2 linked regions of the Lepisosteus oculatus genome follow. The protein of the gene in region 2 interacts with the protein of the main gene of each other region in a biochemical or structural test. Links are inferred from orthologs where the notes say so. Each region holds a gene or a part of one and is shown on either strand. Other genes may lie near its edges.

Region 1 (10,133 bases), on a different chromosome or scaffold from region 2:
ATGAGCCTCCGCAGCTCCTGCAGGACCACTCGGATGCTGTAGGAGTTCTGCCACTTGGCCAAGGCAGACACGGCCCGTGTGTCCACCTGAGGGATGAGCAGAGAACCATGAGGACGCCTGAGACGCGCTCTGGCCAGGCCGGCAAAAAGAGCAGGCACGAACAAGAGCAGGCCGTTCTGCCTATCGAACCCATTTGGTGCTTAGCAGATGCAGTGTGTGTAAAGAGTACTCACCCCCCTTAGAACTGCACTAACAAAACTGTGGGACCTCTCAAAGACTGGGGCATTTATTTTGCAATCAGTTGAAACACATTCATTGTACACGTGGACTCCAACGAAATAATGATCTGACTTAATTGTGCCAGGGTTTATTTAAAGGGGAACTGCAATGCTATTTTTATCTTTCGGATTTAGGAAGAATCAGCATTTCAAACCACACAAAAATGAGTGCATTTCAAACCACATTTAGTGGTACACTGACACTAAAATGTACACAGTAATGTGCAAAACTACCAATTTACATCTCCAAATAAATGCAATTTCCTAATATGCGCAGTGCAATTCAGAATGAGGCAACAAAACGTCCGGTGAGGAGAAGCAGCCCTATTACACTGAAAGCAAGAGGCTTGTGAATATCTCTTGGCTAAACAGTTAGAAAAATCCATCTGAGGTTTGGTTTTCTAAATGTGCTGCTAACAAGTGAAGCAAAATATTAAATTGAGTCATTTCCAATTTTTGTTTCTTGATCTAGTGAAAACCTTTGTTCTCCAGGTCTACTGTGATTATCAGTGTTCTGGATGGTGACAGGCCATGTTGCAAAGCAAAAATACATACAGGTGTATTCCTGCAAATACACAAAGCAGGGAAAGCAACTCAATAGAGGATGGATCATTTTTCTTTCCTTGTATCTAGAGCTGGGCGATAATTCGATAATGATCATTATCGTGATATAATTTTCCTCGATATAATTTTAACAAAAGTTCGATAAATGTTCGATATATATGTTTATGCTTTGCGCGTGATATGCGCATGCACACAAAATACTGCGTGAGTGCGCGTGCACGTTGCAGACCGGGCAGCTAACAGATTTGTTTAATGTTTCTGCTGTTTGGCAAGTGTTTGTTGTGTTCTTAAAATAAAGAGTTGTTTAATTTACCAATTAACTGTCTGGTTTCTTCAAATTTCACTCAGGAGAAAAAATCTGCCTTTAAACTTGAATGAAATAATGATTTGACATTTACCGGGATAATTATCGGTATCGACTGATATGAAAATTTTTATCGTGATAATGTTTTTGGCCATATCGCCCAGCCCTACTTGTATCTAGAGAAAAAATCCCTGCTTCCCTTTGCTTCATGATTTGTACTGATCTTCCTCAAGAAACACTGATTTCCCCGAGTCATTAAACCTTCATAAAGACATACAATGTATATCTAGAAATCCAATCTACCCCCTTTTATCTTCCTTTTTAAATAAACTGAAAAAAATGAGATGAAGGCTTCTTTCACAAAAGTCATTTTGGATGAAATACAATCATGAAACCTTCTAGTTATTCATTCAAGGGGTTACTCACCACACCACTGGAGTTGTGCACACCGTTCAGATTAATCTTGGTCACAAATCTGACAAAGGGAGGTGTCTCGGGGTATCTGGGCCCACATTCCACTTTTAGGCTGTACATCCTGTTCTCGTAGATTGTCTGCAATGACATGCAAGGCGTATGGGTTTGGGGGGTTCAAATGTCCCTCTCTTTCCTCAAGGCAGCTAAACTCAGGTGCCTGATGGTTATGGGAACATCTGGGACTTTCAAATCAATGTCTGAGTGTCATACAGACAAGCGACAGGGCATGATATTAGCTCGGGTTCCTGACTCATGGCCGAAAGATTGGGAAAAGCTAATCCCAGTCGATGAGTGCTCCAATATGGGTTTTAAGCCTCTTCAGATAAAGTGGCATCCAAATTAATAGTAAGAACCACTTTGTACAGACATGAAGGGATCCTGTTTAGTGAGGAAATTCTGAACTGGATCGCAAAAGAAAGGATCCACAGGATGTGGTAACAGATCCTGCCCTTGACTGGTAGTGTGGTAAGACAAATCTGAACATAAACTCTCCCTATCGAGGAGCCTAGATGGTTCCCGGAACACACCAATGTCCTTTAATCTTTCCACCGTAATGCAGGTCCCTAAAAACGCTCACCTAGGTCCCTGCTTTCCCCATTAGTAATTGAGGAAAACCCACACCCTGCCGAAGCCTGTCAGCTATTTTTACCCCAGTCTAGTTTTCTTTAAGATATGTGTGAAATCTCACCCTGACTCACTCTGGAAACAAATCGTGAGGGTCTAACCGGACACTTCCCTGTTCTTCCGTATGGCTTTTATAGGAAAGGCTGTGCACAGGTGGAGCTAGTTGGAGGTGGAGCTACATTTCTCTTCGCCTCCGCCCTGTGGCTCTGTCCTCTTTACACTTCCTAAACCTGAACGCAGGCTATGTCCTTGTGAGAGGAGGAAGCTGAAATGAAGACGTCTGTGGGAGTGACACAAGTGCGATGAGCTAGAGTGATCTGTGGAGCGGACACCTTCACCCAGGAGTTAACTGAAAAGGGTGGATGATAATGAGATATATATATGGAAGAAGAGGATGCTGAATGTGACCTGTGGTCACTCCAAAGCCCATGGCGGCCTGTAGCAGATCTACAGTCCTCCTCACCCTGGGCGGCCCGATGATCATCCCCCTCCAGCGCGTCAGGGTCATGTCTTCGTCGTCCTCCAGCCCCCAGCTCACTGTCCCATCCCCCACGCCCTTCTGCCCTTCCTCCAACTCCTCCAGCAGCCGGAAGTTACGAGGAACCTTCACGCCTGTAGACAGAGAAGAGACTTTGCTGCAGAATCACACCGGAGCACAGACCCTCCCAGCCCTACAGCACAGGAGTCCTCAGGCCAGAGGTGTCCAGCCTTTTCCCCCAGTCTGAGGTGTTCCAGTATGAATAATCCAGATCAAGTACGGAGCTGCGTCAGTATGCGTAGACTGCAATGGAACAAGTAAAGGTTTATTCCATGCTGAAAAGAGAAGACACAACATTTCGGCTGTGGAGCCTTCTTCAGATGTTTCTCATCTTCTCTTTTCAGCATGGAATTAACCTTAAAGTGTTCCTTTGAATAATATATTTGCGGGACTCACCCCTCCTACAATTAACAAACATTAGGCTGTATCCAAACCACACCTAGAAGCACAATTTTTGCAAAACTTTGTTTGTTTTGGAAAAGAGATTAGGATAGTAGGTAGTAGGATTAGGAAGTCATGTCACGTGCTTGCTCGGTTATTCTTGAAAAGCAACTGCACAGGAAATTGTTAGGTTAACAGCAATCAGAATATCAGGTAAGTTTCAGATTTCATTTTAGTCATGTGATTTTTCCAGATTTCTAAGACTTGCAGGAATTCACATGGATGGTAACCATGTATGCCTGGTTTTTAGAAAATGCACATCCACAACAAAGCCTGGAGAGAGCCCGGGTAATCCCAGTTTACTATATCGCAAGGCAACCAGTACAAGCCTATGATGCAGTACGTAGTGTAGGAGGCTGAAAGTGAAGGATGTGACATGTTTCACTATGATACACCGCTGTGCAAGGGAGCACTGCGGTCAGGAACCACTGCCTTAAGCACAAGCTAGTGTCGTCATAAGTAAGCCATGACTCTCAATGCGATATCTTATCAGACTCAACACTGAGTGAAGATCCTGAACTCAGATTTGCCCAAAATGGTCTTGCCTCGGCTAAAACTCAAATTGTATGCTCTGACTCACTGCTAAATGAAGCTGTACAACCCTCAGCACTTAGCCTGGGCTCGTGTTGAGGGTCCTTTTGTTTTGAGTTTGAGTGCTGTCTGTGTGGAGTTTGTATGTTCTCCTTTGGTTTGCTTGGGTTTGCTACGGGTGCTCCAATTTACTCCCACAGTCCAAAGACTGTAGGAAAAACTGTAGGTTAATAAGCTTCTGGGAACACTGGTCCTGGTGTGAGCGTGTGGTGTCTGTATCTGTGTCTGTGTCTGTGTGCACTGTGATGGACTGGTGTCCCGTCCAGGAAGCACCCTGGTTGCTTGCCGAGACAGGCTCCAGCTTCCCCATGTCCTTGAATTAGATGAAGGAGTTTGAACCCAGATAGATGTGTTATGGGGTACAATTCCAAGGCGATTAAGGATACATACAATCAGGTAATTCAAGTGACAAGTGATTTACACCTGCTATTTCTAATCTTCCATCCACACTGAAAATGTGCCTGACACAACACACTGAGCACAGCTGCCTGACACAACATCCTACTGACAGTAAGAAACATCACTCTGCAGCATTGCACAAGTGGACTGACAAACCCAGCAGGAGTGTGACAGACTGTAAGTGCCATATTTCCATTCTTACAGAAAATATATGTGTGGATGAAATATTTAAAAAGTCTAATTTACAAAGGGGTAATATGGATATGCCACTGAGAAAACATCGAGATGCTGCAGAGAAACAAACAAGGGTAAATGAGATTTAAGTGGTTTTGCTTTTTTACACATGAATAGTTCAAATCGCCAGGTCTACAGCACTTTCCGTACGAGTTGGTGGCATCATCTATACCTGCAGAACATCAATGGTCGATTTCGATTCTACGACATTCTCCTAAAACAGGACTTCATTTCATGCTGTTGTATACATTCATATGTGTATTTTACAGGAAACAGGTTTAGCCCTGCCGGCGACATAGCGAACTGGAATAAGCTGATCTTTGCTTTGTTTTTTAAATACTTGATTAAACACACAGATAACATCCGGCACTTATCTTGCCAAATGCGAAGAGACAGCTACCATTTTATGCTGTGTCAACCAGCTAAACCTGTTATGGGTCTCCGTAACTCTCGTTTTAAACCATGTTTGAGAATGACACGCCTCGGAGCACTTACAGGTTGATAACTAAATTTCTGTTAGGTTACATTTTCCAGTATTTTTTACGTATCCCACGTATCTGTTGAATGATGTTGCAGTTTTCAGCTGCTACTGCAGACACAGCGTTTCATTAAAAAAGCTCGATCGCCAGTCTGCTTCCACATTGCTGGCCGGCTCCGCTAAATGATGGAGATATGCTCATTAGTTTGTTTGTTTTTTCCAGTATCACCTTTATTATTAACATACAAACTGGAGATAAAGGCACCCGACATTCTCAACGCGCCTTTTCCTCTTTGATCGAACACCTTAGGTCGCGTTTCAAAATGTATTTATCTGATAGCAAGACTAACTTACCCGATCCGGCGGCCGCCGCCATATTGTCGTTGCCTGTCGGGAACGCGCACGCTGCCATGCGCCGGTGGCCGGGAAAATTCATCGCTTGTGCACGCGCGAAGGCTCGGTGAACGCGCACAGAATGCAGAAGACGCCGCCGCCGCAAAGCGCCGCATTATCCGTGTAGCAGGTGGATTCTAGACGCGGCGATGAACTGCTGGACTTCAGCTTCTCGTTTAAAAGCGCCGAGAGGACATGTGTTAAATCAGTGTAGCGTAGAAACCAGAGACCCGCAATGAAGCAGAAATCTAAAACAAGTGCCGTGTTAATGTGCATTACTTTGCTGCGTCTGCTTCTTTTTACTAAAAGAGGAAGTTCCCTTACAGGAAACAAAATAAATAATGCATGTGTCTGATATGCAACAGCATATTGCACGCTTGCAAAAAGTAAGAAAATCCATAAATGCAACACGCTGTTATTAAATTATCAAATTAAGCGGCTTTTCTAACAATGCATGGATGGATATGAAATAAAGATATTGGAAAATTAAGTACATTAAGGGCATCCTCAATAAGTTAAACGATTTTAACACAACAATCGTGAGCATCAAGTTATCAGCAAAAGATAGCGTTACAAATAACGTTTTTTAATAGTGGGTGCTGTGTCTGCAGGGCTCGTGATAAGTTTTTTTTTAAAAAAAGCATTACACCGAAAATGAGTTAGCTGTAAACTGCCATAAGCAAACCCAAGGTAAATTCACAGATGGCGTTTGTGAAATGGGCACAAATACTATTCAATACCATTAAGAGATGAAGTCTGCTGCTTCTGCAGAACAAGCAGGGTAAAAAAAAAAATCAGTCCAGCAAAACATCCCACTTTTTTGATGAACTTGCCTAGAACTTTTTTGCCCAACGCAGACAGAAGTGACGCTTCTGAGAACAAGACTACCTAATGTAATGTAATGTAATGTTGCTTTATTAGCCCTATACAATTTCTTGCATTAGGAATTCGTCTTTACGCACCTGAACACCTTGCTGGTGTCGTCAGCTCGCCGAAACTGTGCCAGGCGGGGCCTGTACCAGTCTGGGATGGGACGCCTCCAAGACGAAGCAGATCGCACACTTCCCTGTGGACCAGTATTCCCAAACCGTCGTCGCTGGAGGTGCCGTCTTTCAACTGAAGCGTTGGGCCAAGGTCCTGATGACTCAGTCAGAAAAGATCCATAGAAGAGCTTTGTCAAGGGTAGTGGTGTTAACGCTAATATTTTGGCTCACGTTCTACTTTGTGTTTGTAACATCCGGATCGTCCCCCTTACTGTACTGGAATTGCTCATTTCTCACTGCTCCAGCTCATCTGCTGTGTCCTGGGCTCTCTGGCACACAATGGCCGCCTTGGCTCAGCCACGTGAGTGTGGATGAAGTGCGTCCCTCTCCTCCGTGTAAAGGAGGGTTGGGAATCTTCAGTAGGTATTGTCATGCCCTTTCACTTTGCCTGGCCTCTTTAAGTCAGTCAGCCTCGCTCCTGTGGGTAAGGGGCTCCAGAACTGTTAGGCCGGGCCTGATTGCCCCTGCTAGCTGAGAAGAGTTTTAGCTCTAGATCGAAGATTCAAATAGGGGCACAAGGCAAGAGAAAGCCCTTCAGATAGAATGGTCCCAGGTGGCAATTAAAAATCATGATCACGATTAATTTCACCGACACTTATCTAAATCAATGCACATCTCCACCCATTTATATAGCCAAGCAATGCAATCTGAGCAGTGTCTCAGCTGGGATTTTAATTCACAAGCTTCCACTTACAAGTCTCAGCGACTGCTCCAGCATGTTTACTGCGTAAGTAAACATTTTCACCACTGCTTGCCAGGATGACCAGGTTTCCAATAAATTTAGAATTCCATTCTATTCTAGGCTAGGTATACCGTGATAAATATATTTTATAATAAATTGGCAGATATTTTTTTTTCAAATACAGGATGTCAGTAGTCATGCATGCTGCTGTGCAAATATAATTAATGAATGTGCAGCAGAAATTAATATTAATCGGATAAAAATGTTTTGTTAAAAGTGATTCCAAGCAGGTGGTGTTTCACTCTCTCTCTCACACACACACACACACAAAAACACAGTTTGCAGGATAAATGTTTTTGTGCAAAAATGTACCGGTCATAAAGACCTCTTTCCAGCTGTAGAAAACAAGCCTTGAACCGGTCATCCTCCAGTGGAGAGAAACAAAAAACAAAGCCAAGTAGTACACAGTTATTTATTTTTTTTCCATTATAAATATAGTATGTACACTTTTAACATTACACATTTTTTCCTCAAGGGAAGAAAACAGAGGCGTTAAGGCATTAGTTCTCTGATATTTACAAAGGTTAACCACCACAGAGCTACTTCAGACAGATAAAACCACACCATTGAGAATTCTTCCCATGATCCTTGGCAATGCTTTATATTAAATGAGCAACATGGAGTCGTTCCTGCAAAGGCTCATAATGGCTCTAAATTCAAATGACTTCATCCGGAACACAGCAATACATACATGATAAATACCATCTTAACAAATAACTAATGTAGTCCCCTACTCCAAAATTATTCTTAGGAGGAGATTTTAAGAAATGAAAAACTACATCCTCTTGGGCTTTAAAGGATAATAATGAGACTGGATGATTTAATTACTAAGACAAGTTCATGTTGTTCTTTTCAACTGTTATTTTCTAGGTATAGTTGCCAGTGGGAAATAAGCTATTCCACCTATTCCGAAGTACTGTATTAGTCCATCATACTGTCTGCAGAAACAGCCTCCAGGAAAGGGTGGTTGTCTGATATATCAGCTGAAAAATGTCAAGGTCTGCGAGGTAAGAACTCAAACGGGGGGAAAAAGAAATCTCCAACAGAAAGGCTGTGATTTGGCCTGAGGACACAGCTTCTTCCTGTTCCCATCAACCTCGGGCACGTTCTTTACCGACTTTCCAATAATGTCAGCATGACCTCAACACCTGGTCTTGCCACCTGTAAGCAGAATGGCAAAGTACTAGAGGCACATGAAAAACACAACTGATACGCTCCCAAAGTGAAAAGGTTCCCTTCAAGTTCAAACAACTAGTCTGCGGAACCACCAAAGAGTCAGATGATGTCCTTGACTCTTTGAAATACCTACGCATTCTACAGCTATTTCGTTGTGTCCATGGACACATTTTGCATCTCCTACCACTGCCGTCTTTGCAAATACAAAATAATAACCATTATCCTCAGCCATGACCAACAGCTCAGGATGACACAAAAGAAACCGCAAGCTTGTGCCCATCAAGGCACAATAACAGCCACAAGTCTACCGGATTTCCACTGAGAAATCAAGGATGTTGCCCCTTTTCTTCATGGCCTGCACATGTACAGAAACAAGGCGCTCTGGGAGAGAGACTATTACCTTTTTAACTAAACCGCAATGTTCGCCACTTTTGAATTTGAAATCTTTTGCTTTGATATTTTGACTTCCCCCCCCAAACATGAAACATTTTTTGAGAATCCAAATTTCTCAGCTGCACCATCTTAGCAGTAGCTGCTTAACATTATGGGCATCCATTGGCAACTAGCACTGCTCTTAAATATCAACTCCTCATTCAGTCCAGTTCCTCTCTCATGCATTATGCAACTCGCTCATATAATACTAAACATTGTCAAAACTGTGGTCTTGCCAATCAACCACATTGCAAGGGACTGTTTCCAACACAACTACCAGGCACACTCAATCCCAGACAATGTCATTTTCATTTCAATGAGAAGCACCCAAACCATCTTCAACAGAAGATATTATGTGCTTTTCATTCAGAGAAAGAATTCTGAAAAAGAAAGCACTACTGTACGTTACAGCAGGCATAACTTAAAGATAACATTTGCTTTATGCTTTAATGTTAGTTCTACAGTATCACCCGTCTTCTTGTAACCTGTGCCTATTTTGTGTGAGTTCTAGAAACGGCACAGCTGTTAGCAAAAAGGTTTCTACAGAGAAGCCAGGTTAGAGTTGTAAGAATTTTGAGGATTTACACAGCATACTATTTTAGTGAGAAGTATCTATAACTTCCATTAACTACGCCAGCTCAAACCTGTAAGCTCTGAAGAGAGCTGGCTCCAACTAGATTTAAAAGTGCATTTTAAGTAAATATATCAAATGAAGATAAAGAAATGGTTATCTTGCACTTTGGGTAGCCTGCTAAGCGATCCAAGTCTGCAGTTTTGACAACAGTCACTTTTTTCCTTTTCATTTCTCATTTGCTATCGGACATTCAGATTAATCTTCTTTTTCCTGCAAGGCAGAAATACTTAAATATCCCATATGTGATTGAACATCTACTTTTAACCTAAAGACCCTTTCAATTTTGTGTTTCAGGAGGCATTCACACATATGATCCGTGCAAAGTTTTTCTCTAGCTGTGCAACCCAAATAAGAGAGCTAATTAAAAAAAAAGTATTGAACTAATTTCACATACGTTAATGCATATCTGATATATCACCATCAGCTCTGTTATTCTCCACTTAAGTGTTATTTCCTTTCTTGGATTCCCATGAAACTTCACTTTTGGTTCCCTGCAAGGCAACTTTTATTTTAGATTTTTGCAGTTCTTAGATATGCCCACCAGAAGAAAGAATGCAAATATGTGTTGCCTATGCTAACTTTCTAGTTTTGTTAATAGTGCTTGGATACAGGCTACCAAGTTAAAGACAGTAAGTCCCTTCATTGCAATTGCCAATTTCAGTACAGTTATGAAAAGTGGAACCTTGTGCTTTTTCTTCTGGGGTGCTTTATCAAAAATGCGGAAAACATGCTCAGCTTATGTGCTTATAAACTGGACTGGGACCCGAAATTGGTTGCATATACACACA
Region 2 (10,133 bases):
CAACAAAAATTGCAGAGTATAACTAGCTGAATATAAATGCAGGATGTGAGCAGATACCTCATTCAGCATAGAAGAAAAATCTTAAAACTTAAATTCAGGACAGACTTAGCGTTGTTGGAATTTCCACTCCAAATAGCCTTTTCTTTGCAACAATTAAGCTCAATATTTAATAAATATAAACAAATTTACTGACATACTAAGGGTGCAAGCTAGACTGCTGAGCATCCAAATACTGCAGTTTTTCTCAGTGAAGGGCACAACTTTAGAATATTTTAATGTTAAAAAACAAACTATTCAGGCAGCTGTTTAATTTACTTATGGATCCCATACAGCCTCTTACTTCCAGGTGAGTACATTTGAACGATTCTGTGTGCATGGAAGCAAGTTCTGCGATAAAAGAAACAGAAACTACCTTTTATGAAAGAAGTGACATTTTTTCCGCTGAAAACTGCAGTGAGTGCTAACAAACTCGCAGTCTGACCTACTTTTCACAAGCAAGCGTGTTCCTCACAAACTTGACCGTATTTCCCAGTTCTGGTGTCGAAGGCTTGTACAAAGCACTGCACACCAGGGATACGAGAAAAAAATGACAGCACATGCACTTGCAAAGAATTATGTTAAGCTGTCTTTTTCATAAAGAGGTCTAAGAGGAGTAACAGAGGCAAACACAGAACAAGACATAGGCTTTCCGTCCTTTGATGGCTTCAGCCACACACATATAGTGCAATGAAGGCTTCGCTTTAACTAAAAGTACATCATAGAGATGTGCAGGGCTGCAGGGTGAATTGTGATGCTCCTGTGGTTGGATAATTGACTCCATATCTTCTCACAGAAAACAAAATTACCAGGAATTCCATTCGGAATAAAAGACATGACCAGAAGTACTTGTGGAGGGAGTGTTTTTCTGATGCTCTGGAAAAACAAAGCAACTTGATTTCTTCAGATACTGTGGAGATGACAGTCTAGGAACGGGGCCAGAAGACATTGGTTTCTTAATGAAAAACACACAGTGGACAAGAGAAACTCTGCATTAAAGAGTTCTCTAAAAACAAAACATAAAACTAGTCTGAGAAGGTAGGCCAATTTGTACAGACCATGTCAGCAATGTGTCCCGTTCTGCCTGTGTCTTTGTGTACTGCCCCTGGGGTTAACTCACAGCTCCAGAAAGCATATTTTTACTGTAAAGCAGGCAAGACAACATCCCACAGATTACGCAGGAAATACGTCATCATAAAATTCCCAAACCTGACGTTGGAGTGCATCCTGGAGGGGTTTTGTGAAAGAAGGGGGAGGGAGGGCAGTGACATCACAGAGCGTGGTAATAAAACTCCTTTGTGAATCAGCATCCAGGGAACAGAGCCCCTCTGCTAGGGAAACCCAGATGTGTGGGCTTCTTCCTTCAATCCTGACTGATGAACCTACCTTAAGTTTATTTTTTAAAAAAATCAAAAAGATGAAGCAGTGATGCTGCTTCACCACTGTGGCTGAACGACATTCACAAGTGACGTTGATATCAGATAGTGCACAGAGGAGACGTTTTAGAACCTGTTCTTGCTGGAAGGGGAAACTAGCACATTACCCAAGTCAAATTTCGGAATTAGAGAACCAGGATATGCAACGGGTACAAAAGGCCAGTAAATGGAATATCAGGATTGACTTACGTCCACCCGTTTTCATTAAAACACTTAGATCCATATGGGGTCACAGCAAGCCACATCCCAACTCAGGAGAGATGGGTTACACGAAGAACAGGATGCCCCAAAGACAAGAGCTGTGAGGCAGCCACCCCGATGTGCCTCAAGGTCCTCGAGCACAGCCAGTTAACAAACTGGACAGTCGTCCGCAGCACACCAGCAGCACCAGCGCATGGGCAGCAGGCAAGATCAGAGACACGACAAGCGTACTCATTCAGAACCAGCTTTCCGACCCGACTGGATAAGCAAGAGGAATCGTTCTAGGTTTATGTTTTCTCTTCCTACGCACTTGGCTGCAAGACACAAAAACTTCAGATTTTACTCTACAGAAGAATTTCTATCCCCTGTGGTCCAGGCATACAGATATTAAGTTTCTCCAACCCTTGGCAAAACTAAATGTGATCTGCCCTTACATTATCCTCAGACTAATCAGTAGCCTGCAGGCACACATCTGCAACATACTTGTTTTTTTAAACTCTAAACCTACACATTCATATCTACAACACATAGGGGAAAAATGAAATTGAGTCTACCCTCGCTAGACATTTCAGTGAGATCCAATATCCAATATGATCACATGCAGGACTCTTTAACAATGATCACTACGTTGTCTATGCATTTAATTCTATACACTGTACTTGCTTTTTACACAGCTAAGGAAAAACTATGAACCGCCAGGTGTTTAAAGCAATGCCCATTATGGTTATGCAACTGTAGGCACGTACCTATTACCTGGAATGTGTATTTGTTTAAAAAAGGGATGCACTATAGAAACTATTTGAAATGTATCCAAACTGCCAGAGCTTGTGTAACAGCTGATACAGATCGTGTCCGATTAGCAAACCTGCATGCAGCACATGGGAGAGACGGAACCCTAGCTAATGAGCTAATGCCACTGCTTCTGTCCTCATGCTTTTTGACACGAGCATTGGTTCTGCGAGGCTATCTGCTTTGGCAGCAAACTCGTGGCAGAGCCACTGCACTAAAGTACGGCTCTTCAGAACCCCTGTGCGAGAGGCAGCGTACAGGGGTGATCTCTTCCTGGAAGTATCTGGTGAACTTCTTCGCTTAGGGCAGACTGAGTGACACAGACACACACAGACACACACAGACACACACAGACACACACGAGACGGCAGCCCAGACCCAGTGACTTCTCTGTCCTTACAGCACAGCCACTGCCCCTGCTGGTATAACAACTGCCCTGAGCTTTCGCTTCATTGTCACTGCAGTCCTGCTCAGGCCAGACCGTGGGGAACAAGGAAACCCACCTCCATGTGTCCCCTTAGGCACTGCTCTGCCCTACAACCTCCTCTCCTCGCGAGTGCCCGCGTGCAACGCGTCTCCTTTCGGCACAGCTGACAGCACGTGGCCATCTGGACGAGCGGAGATGGGGCCTGCAGGAACCCCTTCTGCACCCCTGAACCCCTCTATCTCTCTCTCTCTCGGCCGCTCCAGGACTCCCAGGTTCTCCCGCCAGTCACGCGACGCCCTACTTTGAGGCGCCTCTCAATCTAACACACGGCTTAAGCGCTCTAAATCTTGACACCGCAGTCCCAGGAAGTATTATTAGTTGGCGATTTCAAGTCTGCCCTCAGCAATCTGATGGCGACGCTTCAACTGCGACAACCTGATACCCTCGTGCAACTCCCTCCTGGCCAACACCCCACCGGCGTCCACTTGTGTGGATCCCTAATCGGCCATCTAACACACCCTCCTTCTGCGAACAAATGGACACGAATAAACTGTCGCCACTGAAAAATGATCCCAGGGAACTTTTTTTTCCAAACCATAAGCTGTATCCAGGCCTATTTGGGGTTCAGGTCTTCCCGTGCGACTGAATAAAAGAGAACACCAGTGACCATTTCTGGCATGGAAACACCAGTGTGCCACCGCAGCTATTAATAACCTGCCAAACACAAAATACAAACAAAAGAGCAGCCTGGCGAAGATTTCACTCAACTCCAGTAAGGGGGTGACCAGAAAAAAAAGAACTACCATTGCTTCCTTATGAACTGACCTTGTGGGGGTCCCCCCCCCCTGTTGAACAAATAAAGTTTCAACGCGCTGACGATTAAGATAAAAATTCAAGACTCTTTAAGGTGCATAATAATTCCAGATCAAAGGTTTGGGTAGGAGCGGTGAACAGACACTCGAAATCCGCGATCCCTGACTTCTGCTGCGAGGGGGGCAAAATGCGATCGGCACGGAACAAAAGAACATCCACAGATGCCCAGCCGGGATGGATGCAAATCAGTTTATCCTTTCGGGGAACAATAGCATCGCGCCTATGTGCCGTGAGACAGCGCCGAGCTGAGCGAACGAAATAAAATAAAATAAAAAAAAACCCCAACAACTTGACAATCGCCCAGTTCGTCGAGATTTAACAGCAAGCGTTTACAATCGCTAATTTCGTCAAATGACGTGCTCACCCACAGCAAAAAAAAAAAAACGCTGGTCGGAAACGAAGCTCGGTTACAGTGCCGAATGCTGAACGTGACAATTGCGCTGTCACCCTGCCCTTCTTGGGCAAGAGCACAAAGAAAAAAAGTTAGCTGTACACAATAGCACGGTGTAATGTGTCTTTTCAGCAATTAAGCAATATAAGCGCTTCCCAGATCTCGTTTCTAAGGGGGGGGTACAAGCGTTTCAAGCCAAATACTAGTAAAAACAGACCGGTTCGCTCTCCACAATAGGAACCGTTACAACGTACAGGACTAAGAAACCCCCTCTCTCCCCTTGGAAGAGTGTGCGGTCATGGTTCACTCCCCGTAAATAATGCCAACGTGAACCACAAGCTAATCGACTCTGTTCATTTGCCAAAGGAAATAAATAATATGGAAATCAAAGCGCCAAGACAAACAAATCAAAACGCTCTTCGGTCTGTGAACGATTCACCCGTGATCACACCGCGCACGGGAACTGGGAAATGTTGGAAAAGTGCACACACGGGCGATTTGGGTTTTTTTTTCACCCTTCGCCTGTGTGTACGGCAGAAGAAACAAAATCACCTTCTGCAGCTTAACGCCTCGCAGGCGGACAGCCCCGTCGAGCTACGGGAAACATCACGCAACCGTCACCGGGCTTTGGGCAGCAGTGAGGACCGCGTTCAAGGGAGCCCTGCATCAAAAGAAACCAGTGCCGGACGGGCGAAGCGCCTCGGTCCCGTCGGCAGGGTTGCGGACTGACAGCGCAGACCCGCTCGGTCCTGTCACTGCTGGAGCAGCAGCTCCTAACAGCGGGCTGCCCGGCGCTCGGTGCCAGGAGAAGCAGGAAGGACAAAAGGAAAGAGTCGCTTTCGTGCTGCTGCTGCTCTTGCTCTCGGACTTACAGCGGCGGTGCGTCGTGACTCCCTCGTCGCTCCTCGACAGCTCGCTGGCTTCTTCTCTGTGAGTCTGTGCGTAGCGGGCGAAAACAATCAAGCACTCCGTCCCAACTTGCTGTGACAAAGGCAAGTGAGCGCAGATCCGCGGCTGGCTGGGAACGAAAACGGGCGCATTGAACTTATAAGCGCGTCTTTTTCCTCTCTGCTCTTTCTTTTTCGCTCTTAAATAATGGATCGATTACACGATCTTAGTGCGGGTAATCGGATCTGACCATCATAAGCAGTGTCTGGCCCCTTTAGGTCAGAGTCACAAATACCTGCCGCGTCACTGATTTTCTTCGCTATGGATTGTGGAAATTGTAGTCGTACCTGCTTTCTCTCGTCGGGACATGGAAACAATTCAGGAAGTCAGCCAATTGGACTACACTACCCATGATGCTTCTCGACGGGAAGCGAAATCAGCTGGTTAGGTCACTTTTACGACCGCGTGCCTGGAGAGGAGCACAGAATTAAGATAGGGGCATCGATTTCATTATCGTTCCCTGTGAAGAGTTTGGAAATTTCTCTGTGTTTTTCAGATTAATAGTAAGTATACATTTTATTTCGAAGCTGTGAGATTATTAAGTTAATTTTAATATCTTATTACGTACTAATATATGCATATTATGTTAATTTCTGTTTATAGATATGTAATACACATTTAAAAATTATCTTTGCATGTTGTTGTCTTTACAGAAATATTTATGTAAAGCATATGTATTACATCCATAACAAAGTACACATACATTGCCTGTTGAGATGTCTTTTTATTGCAGAATATTGCAATATAATTTGATATATTTAAAAAAATATTGCAACGTATAAAAAATATTGGGAAAAACTGTATGCACCTTTAATTTATTTATTTAATAAAAATAATAATTTCTGGCATTTGTATTGTGCTTTTTGTCCTGAAGGATATTACGTGATGGTTTATTACATATAGGAGGGGTCCCACTTCACCCACCACTGAAATGCAGCCCCCACCTGGGCGACAAGAAACAGCAGATCGGGTGGAGAGGCAGGAATTTACTTCATCAGTTGAATGAATGGGGAGCTATATTGTGCTAAACCAGAGTAGAATTTAACCAGGACACATGGGTAACGCCCAACTCTTACAGCCAGGGTCGTTCATCATCAACAAAGCTATGAAGTGACAAACACCAATTTGTACTAAATCTCTCTCATACTAGCGTTTTGGGAAGACTAAATTCCACACCAGCTTTTACAGAATACATCAAAATGAAAGAAATGTATTATTGATAAGAGCACAGTTGCACATTATAATCCATAATTTGTTCTATCAATTAAATCAAAATACATGCACAGGTTGCAGTAAAATTGCTGCACTTTTTTTTGCCAAGAGCAAGATGTTCATTTGAGGCTTTAATAGCAAAATGAGATGGCTTTGACATTTTCTGTCAGCTATTACAAGATGACGTCTGTGACCCTTGTTACACTGCTTTTTAATTCTCTGGGGCTTTCGAAATATGCGTATGGTGATACAGTGTCCAGTTTACCTAACCTTAAAAGGAAGACAGCACTATCACAGTTCTTAAGATGGGAACATTCTTTAAAAAAAAAGCTCTGTGGTCAAGGCTATCAAAAAATACAGACGTTTCCAGTTCTTTAGTGTTTTGCAGTTAGAAAACCAGCCTATCAGCTAATAAGCCAGGCGGATGTTGATGAAAAGAATGTAACACAGAGTAGTTGTAAAAAAAAAAGATAATTCAGAAGGCAGATGTAGTTTTGCTGATATGTGCTGATATCAACACCTTCTTATACAAAAATAGCAAGCGCTCAGAAAAAAAAGGTGCAAATTCATGCTTTTTTTAACTGATGCTGTCATGGAGGGTGGCTCTTGCATCCTTGAAAACATTTAGTCACCACGCTCACCTACCACTCCACTCCCACTGCCTGGTGAGCAGTGACAGGAGACTGGGACAGAGGAGGGCAGGACCAGCACGAACGCCTGCAAATGGAGAATCGATTGGGCTGAATTTATTAGATACCTTGAACGTGTGTTCGGTGCCGGCCCTTTTCCTCTCCGGTGGAATGAGGGAGAGGAAGTCTGACCTTGCCTTGACCTTTGTGAGCCCGATAACTGGCTGCAAATGAAGCAGACACCCCTACTCCCAACCTGGGCCCCCCCAAAACAGGAAGAATACTGCTAACAGCCTCTTCACATTAAGGCTTGTTTTAAACACATTTGTTCCAGAGGAAAAAAAAACTTACATTTTCTTCACTGTGAGGACATCATTGAGTGGTGGGATATGAATCAAGTCCTGTTACTGATCTCAGAAAATCATCTAATAGGCCCACATTTGATTTCACATCTATTTTTCATGGTAACGCATTATTGTTTAACATATGCAATAATGTAGTATGTTGAACAAAATACAGTATAAAATGAAATGTAACTCCACTCCTTGAATGTGCTTTTTTATTTTTATATATTTGCATCCCTGAAACACCATGAGCGCTTTCTGAAATGCGTGTCAGGAGCAGTTGAAGGAAACATCTGGGGTTTTTATTATTCTGCAAACCAGTTCCTTGACTCCTCCATGCCCTTTCCAGATCTGTGCTTTATGACCGCTTTACGTGTGCATTAAATTATAGCTGTCCACTCAACTGTTTGCTATTTCCCTCACGCTCTTTCAATTCAGATATTCAGCCATCAGCCTCAGATCATTAACTCAGACACTTGCTCCCTGATCAAGGTGGAAGTCACACTGTTGAGCGATTGTAATGATTTACATTTGGAAAAGCCGAATTGTGCAATACATGACAAACAGCAAAGAGAGTTATTCATTTAAATATGTCTCAATAGTGATAAACAGAATATTATACCGTAACATAATTCTTATTTTTTTCCTACTGAGAGACATTTTCACATTTTTCCATCCTTTAACTATCTCTAAAATTGCAAAAAACAAAACAAAACCGTTATGCATGTGCATCATGCTTGCTAATCACTGGCTAGTAAAGAATGTTTTTTTATTAGTGTCACTATAAAAAATATTAAAAAATAAAATAAAAAATTGAAAAGACAAAGGTGCACCCTATTGCATCTTTCTGTACTGGATATATTGGATGGGGCATTGTCGAGAAATGATAAACTGCTTCTGCACCTAGGTATGAAAACTTGTAATTCTTCAATCATGTGACTTTTCTAACCCTGTTGCTTTGCCTTATTGACCTTGCTGACATGCAAATCATCAGAACTGAAAGACAAGTGAACTATATCTGTTATTGTGTAAGATTTCAGTCAAAGAGTTCTGAGTTCCAGGGGCTGGTAATACAACATTTTTAGCTTCCGATAAAGTAATTCTAAAGAAGTCTAAGGCAATTCCTTTGGAACTGCAAGAGGGCCCTTATCTCAGAATTATTAAAGAGCAATAAACAGAGCAAACAGCATTACCATTACAGTATTTTCTACAGTTGTTTTTCGTACAGTATATCGCATTTGAACTCTTTTTTTCATGTCCAGCAATTTCACTGAGAAGAGATTTATGAAATTAGACTTTGAGTGATTGAATGTAAATATTGTGTCTGTGATAGCTAATTTTATACTTGTTTGGATTTCTAGCTTTACGTGTAGATTTTTATTTTGAGAAGTTTAAAATGTTTCTTGGTTTAGTACAACGTTTTACTTCATACTTCCAGATTTTCTACTGAGAAAATCCATAGGTCAGGATATTTCCTTTCTCTAAACTCAAGACTAAGGATTGCAACTGTAATGGATAAGGATTGCTAGAAACTCCATTGTATATGTTTAGATCACAGTAGTAAGCACATTTCCTCATAGGAGAATATTGATTGTTTCAGATGTTCAGATTTGAGCGAGAACGTGACCAGTTCAAGTCCTGCTCATCATGCCTAGCAGTACAACACTCATGCAAGCACCTTGTGATGAAATCTAAAACAGGGAGTCTTTATGTTGTTGCAGTAAAAAACCCCAACATAGCAACAGTACTCCTGTACAGATTCTTGTGTTGCATAATGCCTAACTTTGGTAAGAATATAATGTCTGACTGAGGATGCCGTTAAGCCTGCTTGTGATTTCGTGCCATGGGATTACATAATAAAAATTTAGTACTAGTGCTAAACCAAATATTAAATTTCCCTACTGCAGTGTTTGGAAGTCAGCCGTCTGCTGTTGTCAGGCTGTCATGGAGACAGTATCCAAGTACACAGATATGTTTACAGAATGTTTTAAATATCACAAACTTGCAAGGAACAAAGAACTATTGGCTGAATTCCATAGGCATACACTTGTGTTGTGTCAGAGAATATCTGTTTCCCATACCGTTTTATATGTGTCCAGTGCCGGCCTTCACTCCTTATTTGTACTAACATTTTTTTTTGCTGAACATACAGCTGGAAAAAATTAAAGGCAAAGCATGTTCCGCAGCGTACACTTTTGGGAATTAAAAACTTGCTTCTCTCTGTTCGTCCTGTGTCTTTCATTTTCAGATAAGAAACTCCGTGGCTTTCTGAACCTATTTCGCGTATTTAGATTTGAATAGACAAATAATGAATTTGAAAAAAGTGACACTGGGAACAAGGATTGGAATTCCTGCCATTAAACGACAAAGTCATTTGGCTCAGCAATTACCTCAAGATATCTGTCGGGAGACTTTGGCAAATGAGACACAGAGTATTTCTAAACATTTCATATGTAATTAAGCAGGCCAGCACTGTCATTTGTGGCATGATCACTTCCCTTTCTCCACTGCAATTTGTTGGGCACTGCCATTCTGAGAAAGTGAATTCGCAGAAAAGATCCAGGAGAAAATCGCGACCCTCTGAATTCTAATCATACCAAGAGTCACTGGTGTCTGGAGAGTATTTAGAAAGGGCAGAAGGACTTGTATATTACAAAAATACCCCCCCCCCTCCAATAAACACAGTGTTTAGTGTTCATGTCCAAGACATGCTCAGACAGGACTCTGAAGAAAAAGAGGACGTTTGTTTCAGCAGAAAATTAAAACAATGTATTATTCATCTTTGATCCACATTTTATAACTGACAGTAGGTAAACCTACTGTTCTGGGGATAATCAAAAGCATAAA

The links.
Region 1: the proteins of peli1b (region 2) and ube2v1 form a complex in vitro, tested with the Homo sapiens proteins (3 studies listed by BioGRID). The link is inferred for Lepisosteus oculatus from reciprocal best matches to the Homo sapiens genes PELI1 and UBE2V1.

What each region holds. Positions count from the first base shown.
Region 1 is NC_090711.1:12,183,476-12,193,608, reverse strand, and holds the start of ube2v1 (ubiquitin-conjugating enzyme E2 variant 1), read right to left. Parts: upstream 5,380-10,133; 5' UTR 5,362-5,379; coding exon 5,280-5,361; intron 2,857-5,279; coding exon 2,708-2,856; intron 1,699-2,707; coding exon 1,573-1,698; intron 87-1,572; coding exon 1-86. UniProt on the Homo sapiens protein: Has no ubiquitin ligase activity on its own. The UBE2V1-UBE2N heterodimer catalyzes the synthesis of non-canonical poly-ubiquitin chains that are linked through Lys-63.
Region 2 is NC_090712.1:9,279,147-9,289,279, reverse strand, and holds the start of peli1b (E3 ubiquitin-protein ligase pellino homolog 1b), read right to left. Parts: upstream 5,365-10,133; 5' UTR 5,026-5,364; intron 4,990-5,025; exon of another isoform or gene 4,706-4,989; intron 1-4,705. UniProt on the Homo sapiens protein: E3 ubiquitin ligase catalyzing the covalent attachment of ubiquitin moieties onto substrate proteins. Involved in the TLR and IL-1 signaling pathways via interaction with the complex containing IRAK kinases and TRAF6.